Linked DNA regions of Tribolium castaneum. The protein of the gene in region 1 purifies or fractionates together with the protein of each later gene. This does not show direct contact. Links are inferred from orthologs where the notes say so. Each region holds a gene or a part of one and is shown on either strand. Other genes may lie near its edges. The genes, in order: Sin3A and Kdm5.

The links.
Region 2: the proteins of Sin3A (region 1) and Kdm5 purify together in Drosophila melanogaster (affinity purification with western blotting; 3 studies listed by BioGRID, with this or other methods). This does not show direct contact. The link is inferred for Tribolium castaneum from reciprocal best matches to the Drosophila melanogaster genes Sin3A and Kdm5.

Annotation. Positions count from the first base shown.
Region 1 is NC_087396.1:24,661,592-24,665,979, forward strand, and holds the start of Sin3A (paired amphipathic helix protein Sin3b), read right to left. Parts: upstream 2,862-4,388; 5' UTR 2,275-2,861; intron 2,195-2,274; 5' UTR 2,059-2,194; intron 1-2,058. Other genes in the region: sel (protein seele), read left to right, coding at 4,030-4,114, 4,172-4,388.
Region 2 is NC_087403.1:6,553,497-6,558,116, forward strand, and holds the start of Kdm5 (lysine-specific demethylase 5), read left to right. Parts: upstream 1-1,768; 5' UTR 1,769-1,914; intron 1,915-2,333; 5' UTR 2,334-2,359; coding exon 2,360-2,593; intron 2,594-2,786; coding exon 2,787-2,864; intron 2,865-2,911; coding exon 2,912-3,050; intron 3,051-3,098; coding exon 3,099-3,256; intron 3,257-3,303; coding exon 3,304-3,438; intron 3,439-4,620. Other genes in the region: UPF0746 protein DDB_G0281095, read left to right, coding at 1-449. UniProt on the Drosophila melanogaster protein: Histone demethylase that specifically demethylates 'Lys-4' of histone H3, thereby playing a central role in histone code. Does not demethylate histone H3 'Lys-9', H3 'Lys-27', H3 'Lys-36', H3 'Lys-79' or H4 'Lys-20'.

The DNA.
Region 1 (4,388 bases):
TCATGTGTATTTTCTTAAAACCTTTATTACATATTATGTTAAAGTTTTTCGTGAAATAATACGAAAGATGTTTACACGTCGCCATCATTTAATAATGGGACGTCTGTTATTATTGCTCGATAGGGGCTAATGCGCATAACGTAATCAATTACGCTGATAATGGGCGTTAATTTTTGTTCTATGAAAAGACTGAAGAGCTGGGTTAAAACTCGTTTGAACAAGTGTGACGGTTTACGTCTCTTCGAAATTTGTGTTTTTTTTTAAATGTGATTTAACCAAGTTTCATTTTTTAACACACGTGTGAAGACTTCCATTTGATTAGTTTATAATTACAAATCACGGCAATTAAACTTTTCACTTTTCGAGTTGAGAGACATCTGGTTGATATTATTACACTTTTGTGATAAGATTAAGAAAAACGTGTTCGTGTCATGATATGCTGCTATTTTATTACATTAATCGAATTCCTAACAATTACCTACCTTTTGTTTAATTAATAATTTCAGAAGATATTATGAATATTGTATTTCCGTGAAAAAATACAATGTTTTTTAGACAAAAAATATATAACCCATGATAATAACCGGTAAGCATTTTATTTAACATTCCATTATAAATTGGTTTCCAATAGAAATTACATTTTTTATTACATGTAAAACCAATTTTCATTTTCCAATACCTATAATTGTGATTATGTAAATTAATTTTTAACAATTTGCCATTTTTATCCTCTATCCACCGCTGTACAAACATTATTTCTGCATGTTATTACTGTCAGATCAGTTTTTGTAATTATCTCTGACCTTTTTCTTACAAATAAATAAATATACACCGTTAGTAATTATTATAACGTTATAATTTAAAACATACATAATAATACCTAAATTAAAAACAGAGACAAACTCTAATTTAAATAATTTTACTACCTATTTATTTGGTAGATAAATGAATAATATTAAAGTAGAGCACAATGTGACACATAATTACAGTTTTAATAAAATTCGCACAGACTACTCTTATGAAACACGTCCTACAGATTGAATAATTATCAAATTATTTCCCTCGTCTTACCTCTGAAATTTTATATAAACATGTTCATTCCAGCACGAAAATGTTATTCAAGAATTACTAAAAATCGTAAAAACAAAAATCTAAACTAGTATTTGACAAAAAAATAATTTGTGGAAATAAACATGTAAAAAAGCTTTTAAAAATGTAATTTGACCATACTGTTTTTTACAAGCTAGGAGAGCAAAATGATGACTTTATTTCGACATAACCTCAAAATAACATGTTACGTAAACAAAATCCAACAACATTTCGTCCATCATAGTCAAAACCACTGATATTTTTAAAGTTTTAATATAAGATTCGAGGAAAATTTGCAACAATATCGGCAACAACGTTCATGGAACATTTCTCGATCCCATGTTGAACATTTTCAATTCAGCTGATCCGCAAAACGACACGCCCACTTATTTATTTCTGGCATAAACAAAACCGGTAGCGTTTATACGAACTGCTACGCAGTTACTTATCGCGTCATTCCGGACAATAATGGCGTCGGTATTTCTCCCCGGAAAAAAAAACAAAACAAAACTCAGGGTAACAATTCTTATCATTTTGGCACTCGTGAGATAACCAAATAAATAGTCCATACCCTAAACCATTTATGCAAACAGTAAATCAACTTTCACGGATGACCTTGAAAAGGCGCGCGTCAAAGTTTTAGAAAGCCCGCATAAAAATCTCGTCACGTGTCGGTTTCTGGTGGCCATTTTTCGGCATTTGTGTTGTGGCAACGTTGCCACACCTTTGTGCATGAGTAATTTGTGGCAGTGGCAACGTTGCGTGTCGACTTCGCTCCCGCGATCTAGCAAGCTAGGCTCGCGATTGGCCAATGAAGGAATCGATAGGCGAGTGGAAGGGCAGGGAACCGGACGTGCGAGGCGCTGCGACCGAAGCGACCCAAACACGAAAGTGCATAAAGCCGAAAATCGGACGCGACTCTTTGTCAGTAAACAAATACAAAATGTTGCATCGAAATTTCGTAATTACCGAAAGGTCGGCAGATTTTCGGCGGAAAAGCGTTGCCAGGCCGACGAAATTTCCACGGAGGGAGAGTGCCGGCCCCCGCGACGGAGGCTAATTTTGGAACGCCGACGCCGAAATCGCGGAAAAACCATGGGAAATGCTGGAAAAGCGGCGCCGAATTGGGAATTGCAATTACACAACACTTGTGTCAATGTGAAAAGTTAAAAATATGTCACTCACCTTACAAAAGCCTCTTTCGCGGAAAGCGCTTCCGTGCGGACTGGTGCCGGGGATGCACCGTACAATTGCAACCGATCCGCGCTGATTTCACTGGGAAATAATTGGAAAACACTAGAATTCATCAAAAGAAAATTCTGACACATTCTGTTCCGAACCACCCGAAACGATGACCGATTGTCGACTGACTGGCTGCTTCAAATCTCCGAGCTTGTTTGGACGAGTCCATCAATTTCGGGTGGTTGGTCGCTTTGCCCACTTTCAAATTTTTCAAGTTTTTGATCACCAAAATGCACAAAACCTACACACAAACATTACGACGTGCCACAGGATGAGCTCCCAATTCCAGAAAAATTACACTTTAGTCATATTGTGGATTTTTTCAGTTTCGGATACTAGCGACCGCCCCTCGAATCAATTGTCTGATCCGTAAAAGGTTTGTTTGATGCTTGCTCTGATAGTTCAATGTGAAGAGAACAGTGGCGCTGTTATCGATTTTTAAAAATACCCGCCAAAGAACAATGTAGTGCCCATTTTCGGATTAGTTGAGCGTGTAGCAGATGTAAAAGTTTTAAACTGACCTCTGACTGTTATTAATCTTATTAAGCCGGACATCAAGATTCAAACTCTTTTTGTGTCTATTAATTATTATTAATAAACTACACCTAAACATTTTTATTACTATTAAAAATAATTATACCTACAAGAAATTAATCAACTAAACAATTTCTAAAAGTATTCGTGCCAATGATTACGTGGCTGCAGAGGCTAATAAAAAATATAAAATTAAATAAAAATCTGAAAACAAGTAAAAAACTTGTCTATGCAATTAATTCATAAATCCACTTTATGTTGAATATACATCCAGTGAACATTACTGCATAACACACACCTCAAGAAGACACATTTTAATTACTAATTATTAATTTAGTCACTCTCTTCGGCAATAAGAACCACAATGAAAAATTAAAAAAATAATAATAACTGAAGTGAGTGTATAAAAATAGTTGAAAATCACATTTTTGGATTCAAAACATCAAAAAAAAACACACACACACACACACACAGTGATGCATGGAGAACATTGGAAATTTAAAACAGGTCATAAATTCCATTTAAAAAATTATGTAGCAATCTGAAACTTGAAACAAATACCATATGCTAATATTTAAGAGCTTTTGAGCTTTTTGAGAAAGATAAGAGTTGAAAAAAAAATAAATTCACTTGGTTTATTGTATTTTGGGTTGCCCACTTCAATCAGTGCTTCTATTCTATGACAGACAATAAATAATTGAAGAAAATGGGGTCACGTTTGTGCTCCGAGTCAAAACGGCTCCAATACACTTCTGATAAACTTGTAAAAAATTACCGTAAAAAACAGAAACATCCAATTAGTTAGAATTCAACCCAAATTAATCCAATTATTATTCCCAATTAGATAATTCTTACAAAAACTAACTGTATTATTGGACCGTTTGGTTATGTATTTTATCGATTTAATTTTACATTATAAAAACCACGGGATTATAACTGTGAAAGATTTTCGGTTCAAATAATTTTCATTACGGGAAATACCATTGGAGCAAATACTATCAGCCATCACTATCAGCATAAGCCCAATTTAGCCAATCAGAAGGTAGAAACGTGTCATTAGAAAATTATGAACGTCAACCAGTTTTATTTTGAAGAAAGCGAGCCGCGAAAATATTATTCTTGCCAGTTTATTCCGAAAAAGTGCAAAATTGTTCTGACAATAAGATGAAAATAACGCTAGTTCTAGTAACACTCTTTTTTTACAACACAAAAGCACAAAAAATTGATGCTCAAGAGTTGAGGTGTTTAGGTAAAGAATGAATGATTTTTGTTGTAATGGTGTTTTGTAATTAGTGATGATTTCCAGTTTGTAAAGTTAGTTTAGACGAATTACACAAAGCTGTGAATAAAATCGATCCAACCAAAACCGTCGACGTTGGGGGTTATAGACTGGACTCTGATGGCAATTATCGACACAAATCAGTTTCTCAAGCCAAGTCTGAGGTTCATTTATCCGAAATGATCGAAGATATTTGTACGAAAATGGACGATTATGTAAGGGCGACGTGGAAATCGAACGGAAC
Region 2 (4,620 bases), on another chromosome or scaffold:
AGCAAGAACTGCTACAGAAGAAGATGATATTGGAGGACCTGCAGAGGGAAGAGCTGAAGAAACAGCAGACGGAACAGCAAGAGAAACAACAGGAGGAGCAACAGGAGAAACCGCAGGAGGATCAACAGGAGAAACAGCAGGAGGAGCAACAGGAGAAACAGCAGGAGGAGCAACAGGAGAAACAACAGGAGGAGCAACAGGAGAAACAGCAGGAGGAGCAACAGAAAAAACAGCAGGAGGAGCAACAGGAGAAACAACAGGAGAAACAGCAGGAGGAGCAACAGGAGAAACAGCAGGAGGAGCAACAGGAGAAACAGCAGGAGGAGCAACAGGAGAAACAGCAGGAGGAACAACAAGAGGAAGTGCAGGAAAAACCAAAGGAGGATCAACAGGAGAAAGAAGAGCCGAAATTGGAGGAGAAAAATGACGAAGAAAACAAGGAAAACTAATGAATTTGATCAATTTGATTGCTTGTTACATCACATACTCTGTTATTATAAAGTATGTAACAAAATTGATTAAATAAATAAAAATATCATCCTTGTGTTTAATTACAAATTGTTACCAAATACTTCTTCATTAGTCCAAAAATTAATTACATAAAAAGTCAAATGCACAGAATTTCTAGAGAATGAGGCGTGTCTACTTTAAAATTTAAAAATTTCCCGCACAACGGTTTTGGTTTCGCTACCGGTTCACAGGTGGTGCTTATAATTTACATGAAATTGCATTACTTTTTTTATTTTTTTTATACCAAAAATTGTGTTAATAGGTAATGACCTAAAGACCTAACGCCAAACAAACAGCCAAACCTCCGCCACTGTTCATTAAATTTTTTTTTTGAAAAGTAAGTAATAAATCTAAAAATTTTGATTTTAAACTCGAGTGTTTCATTTAAAATTTGAGAAAAAATATTTTTTGAAAATTAACCAAAAAAATTAATTAGGTACATAAAAAATCAAATGTAATGTAAATCAGTTTAAAATTCTATTAATAATTTCAAAAATATGTCTTAATCAATTTTTTATTAAATCGCACAATTATGGTGAATTCATAAGTCAAGTATTTCTCCTATCGCATACAGACACAAATATTTTGATTAATAACGGAAGAGAGGTGTTAACATGCCGCCAATAGTGGACTTTTGAGTTCTAGTGCTCAAGTTCATAATTTCTGCTGGTAAGTCTTTTTATAAATTTCAGGGAGAATTATTAAATTACTTAGAAAATTGTAGTACTGCAGAGCAGAGGGTGATTTAAAATTGTGTGTAGTGTAGAAGAGGAATTAGATTTAAATTAACTTTTTTCAAACACAATCCATGATGCCGTATTAAATAGTGGTTATCTAGGAATTGTTTCTAAATCATTAAAATCTAAACAATTGCTTTATATTATTATTTATAAAACAAAAAATGCACACATAGAGTTGTTACAAATGATAAATTTCAAGGTTTGAACGAAAATTTGTTTTGGCAGACAATGACCTAATTAAATCTAACCCCGCCCCTTTCGCAATAGTCAAACCTCCGCCACTGTTCATTTCTATTATTTTGCAAAAGCAGCAATAAATCTAAAATATCGGGTTTAAACTCCTGTTGTTACGTAATAATAAAGCAGTGCTCCATTTCACAAATCTGATTAAACTTTTAACGAGAATGGACAATTCATAAAGGTCAACGGCAATCATCAGCCTAAGTGCTATGCAACCAATAATACAGGCCCCAGAAATAATTGCTGCACAGTAAGCCAGCGAATTGTTGGTCATGTCGATTGCTGTTCTATATTCTATGGAATAGCTGCCTTAGCTGGTTAGCTATGCGTCACGTACCTTTCTAGTTAACCTAAAAGTTGGTATTTATGGTGCAAAATGTTGGACGGAGGTGTTTGAGGCTGAACTAGGAGCAAAGTGCGTGGTGTAAGTAGGAAATGGGGTGTTTTGTGTAATCGGAGGCCGAATTTCGAATCTTCGTGTGTATTTATAAATTTCTGTGTAGACCATCTTTGTTATGTTGCTATTCACAAGATCCTCAAGCAATCGATGACGGCTGGTGGGGATATTATTACATGTAATGTTGTTGTGTTGGTTCAGAATGAAAAAAAATACTCGAAATTCGGGCAAGTTGGTGTAAAAAGTGTCCCAACGGGGTTCGGGAAGTGTGGGGTTCGCGAATCGGGTGAAATCGCCCCCTTTTCAATAACAAAACGTGATTATTGTGACGGCCAGGTATCGCACCTCGCTAATCTTCTGGAAAGTAACTTTTCCCGAGCTCTGATGATTAGGCCGTGACTTCCATCGTGTCTCGGTGCGAAAAGTCCATCGTGTTTTTCTTCCAGGACTTAATTATGTAAAATTACCCAAAATGACTACAAAAGTGGATAAACCCACCAGTCCTACTAAAAACCACGCGAAAAACACCAGCCCGAAGCAAGACTCGGGCTGTGGCTACAAAGAAGAGTGTTTCGAGTTCGAGCCTCCACCGGAGGCTCCCGTTTTCCACCCAACCGAGGAGGAATTCAACGATCCGCTCGAGTACATCAACAAGATCAGGAAGTATGCTGAGGGATCGGGCATTTGCAAGATCAAACCGCCTCCAGTAAGTCACAAAAGAGACCATCGAAATTATTTCGACTTTGTTAATCAATTCGCACCCGAATAGACTTTGAACCACTCTCAGGAACCTCGGCTATTTTTATTTAGAATTCCATTAGCAATCAAGTGAAACATGAGGTTCTATGGCTGCAAAGCCACCATGTTTGATAGAGGTTTAATACGAATATGTTTTCTAGAATTGGCAACCGCCCTTTGCCGTTGACGTTGACAAACTTAGATTTACGCCACGAATTCAGAGACTTAACGAATTAGAGGTATTACCCCGATTTAGCAAAGTTCGACTTTAATTCTGTTACCTTAGGCTAAAACTCGCGTCAAATTAAACTTCCTCGACCAAATCGCCAAATTCTGGGAACTGCAAGGTTCCACACTGAAAATCCCAATGGTAGAAAAACGCTGTATTGACCTGTACACGTTGCACAGCATTGTTCAAAGTCAAGGTAATTACAAATTGCTGGGTAATTTTTTGTTGGACTTTTGCTTATTAGGTGGTTTTGACCAAGTAACCAAAGACAGAAAGTGGTCGAAAATTTCGGTCTCTATGGGGTACCCATCTGGTAAGAGCATAGGGACCATTCTAAAAACGCACTATGAGAGGTTGCTTTACCCGTTTGATCTTTTCAAACAAGGCAAAACTTTGAATTTTGTAAGTAAAACTCTGGATTTGTTTTTTTTTCTACTGTAATTCTCTAGAAAATGACATCACCCTTAAATGAGGAAAGCGAGAAGGCTGATAAAGACTATAAACCGCACGGGATTGTGGGGCGAATGGCGATCAAACCACCACCTGAGAAACACGCTCGCCGATCTAAACGATTTGATGCCGACGTAATAATTTTAATTTTTTTATTAGGAAAAAGTTATTGGCGGTTAATGACCAAGCGCAATATTCATTTATTATTATTATTTTTATTATTAGCAGACACGAAGAGGTAAGTATCTGTTTGCATCTCGCGGGTAGAATCTGCGATAAGGTCGCACCTCTTGTCACTTGTTCAACGTTTTCTTATCTTCGAAGACGCAAATGGCAGCTGATACGAGGCGGTATCAAGGCACACCCACAGTGTTTATTTATTTGAGATATTGTAATTCAAGTTAATTCTTTCTGATATTGCATAAGAATTAATTTTTTTCGAGGAAACAAAACAAAAATTACATTACAGTTGTTACATGTTTTCGCATACTTAATTGACTTCAATTGTTTTCTTTCATTGACGAATTAGAAAAATTATTTTCTTAAGAATTACTGCACCACAAAAGAACAGTCGCAAAATTACAACTTGTAGGCTAATGAAAAAAATATTATTTCACACTAACCATTCTATGTCAAAATCTCAAGTTCTTTATTGTTCTTTCGTTACCAATATATCAACAAATAATTCTTATTTTGTTTTATATAATTTGAGAGTAGAGGGTTTAATGTTTATAAAACTTTTTTCCACTCAGCGATTGCAGTGAATCATTAGTGAAAACTCATAAATGCACTTTTGTTCGCGGATTTTTTTCCATTTTCATTTTAAACTCGCAGTTTAGCACATAACTTTCATTTCACATAGGTGGTACATATTAATACATGAATTGTGCAATTAAATTCTATTTAAAATATTTAATTTGTAATTAACATTTTTCCATTTGTACAAATATTGAATTAAAATTGAAAAAAATTAATTAATCTTCATGTTACGAGAATAATACGCAATTTTATTTGTAAACATAGAAGCGACAACGAAAAACGCACATTTTACATATTTTGAGACACAGCTTAAATTTCCAATTCCTTAAAAAAACAACGCTGATGTATTGAAATATAAAGAATAATTTGCCGAAACCTTAAAACGATTTTGGTTTCCTACCTTTTGGAATCTTGCAATCACAATTAAACGCACGGCCCGACGAGTTTTGACCGATGATTACTTGAAACTGAGGCAAATGTAACTATTAGCCTTATCTCAGGCCGCAAAAAATTGTTCGGGAATAAATCGACAAAAAGTTTATTATTCATATTAACGG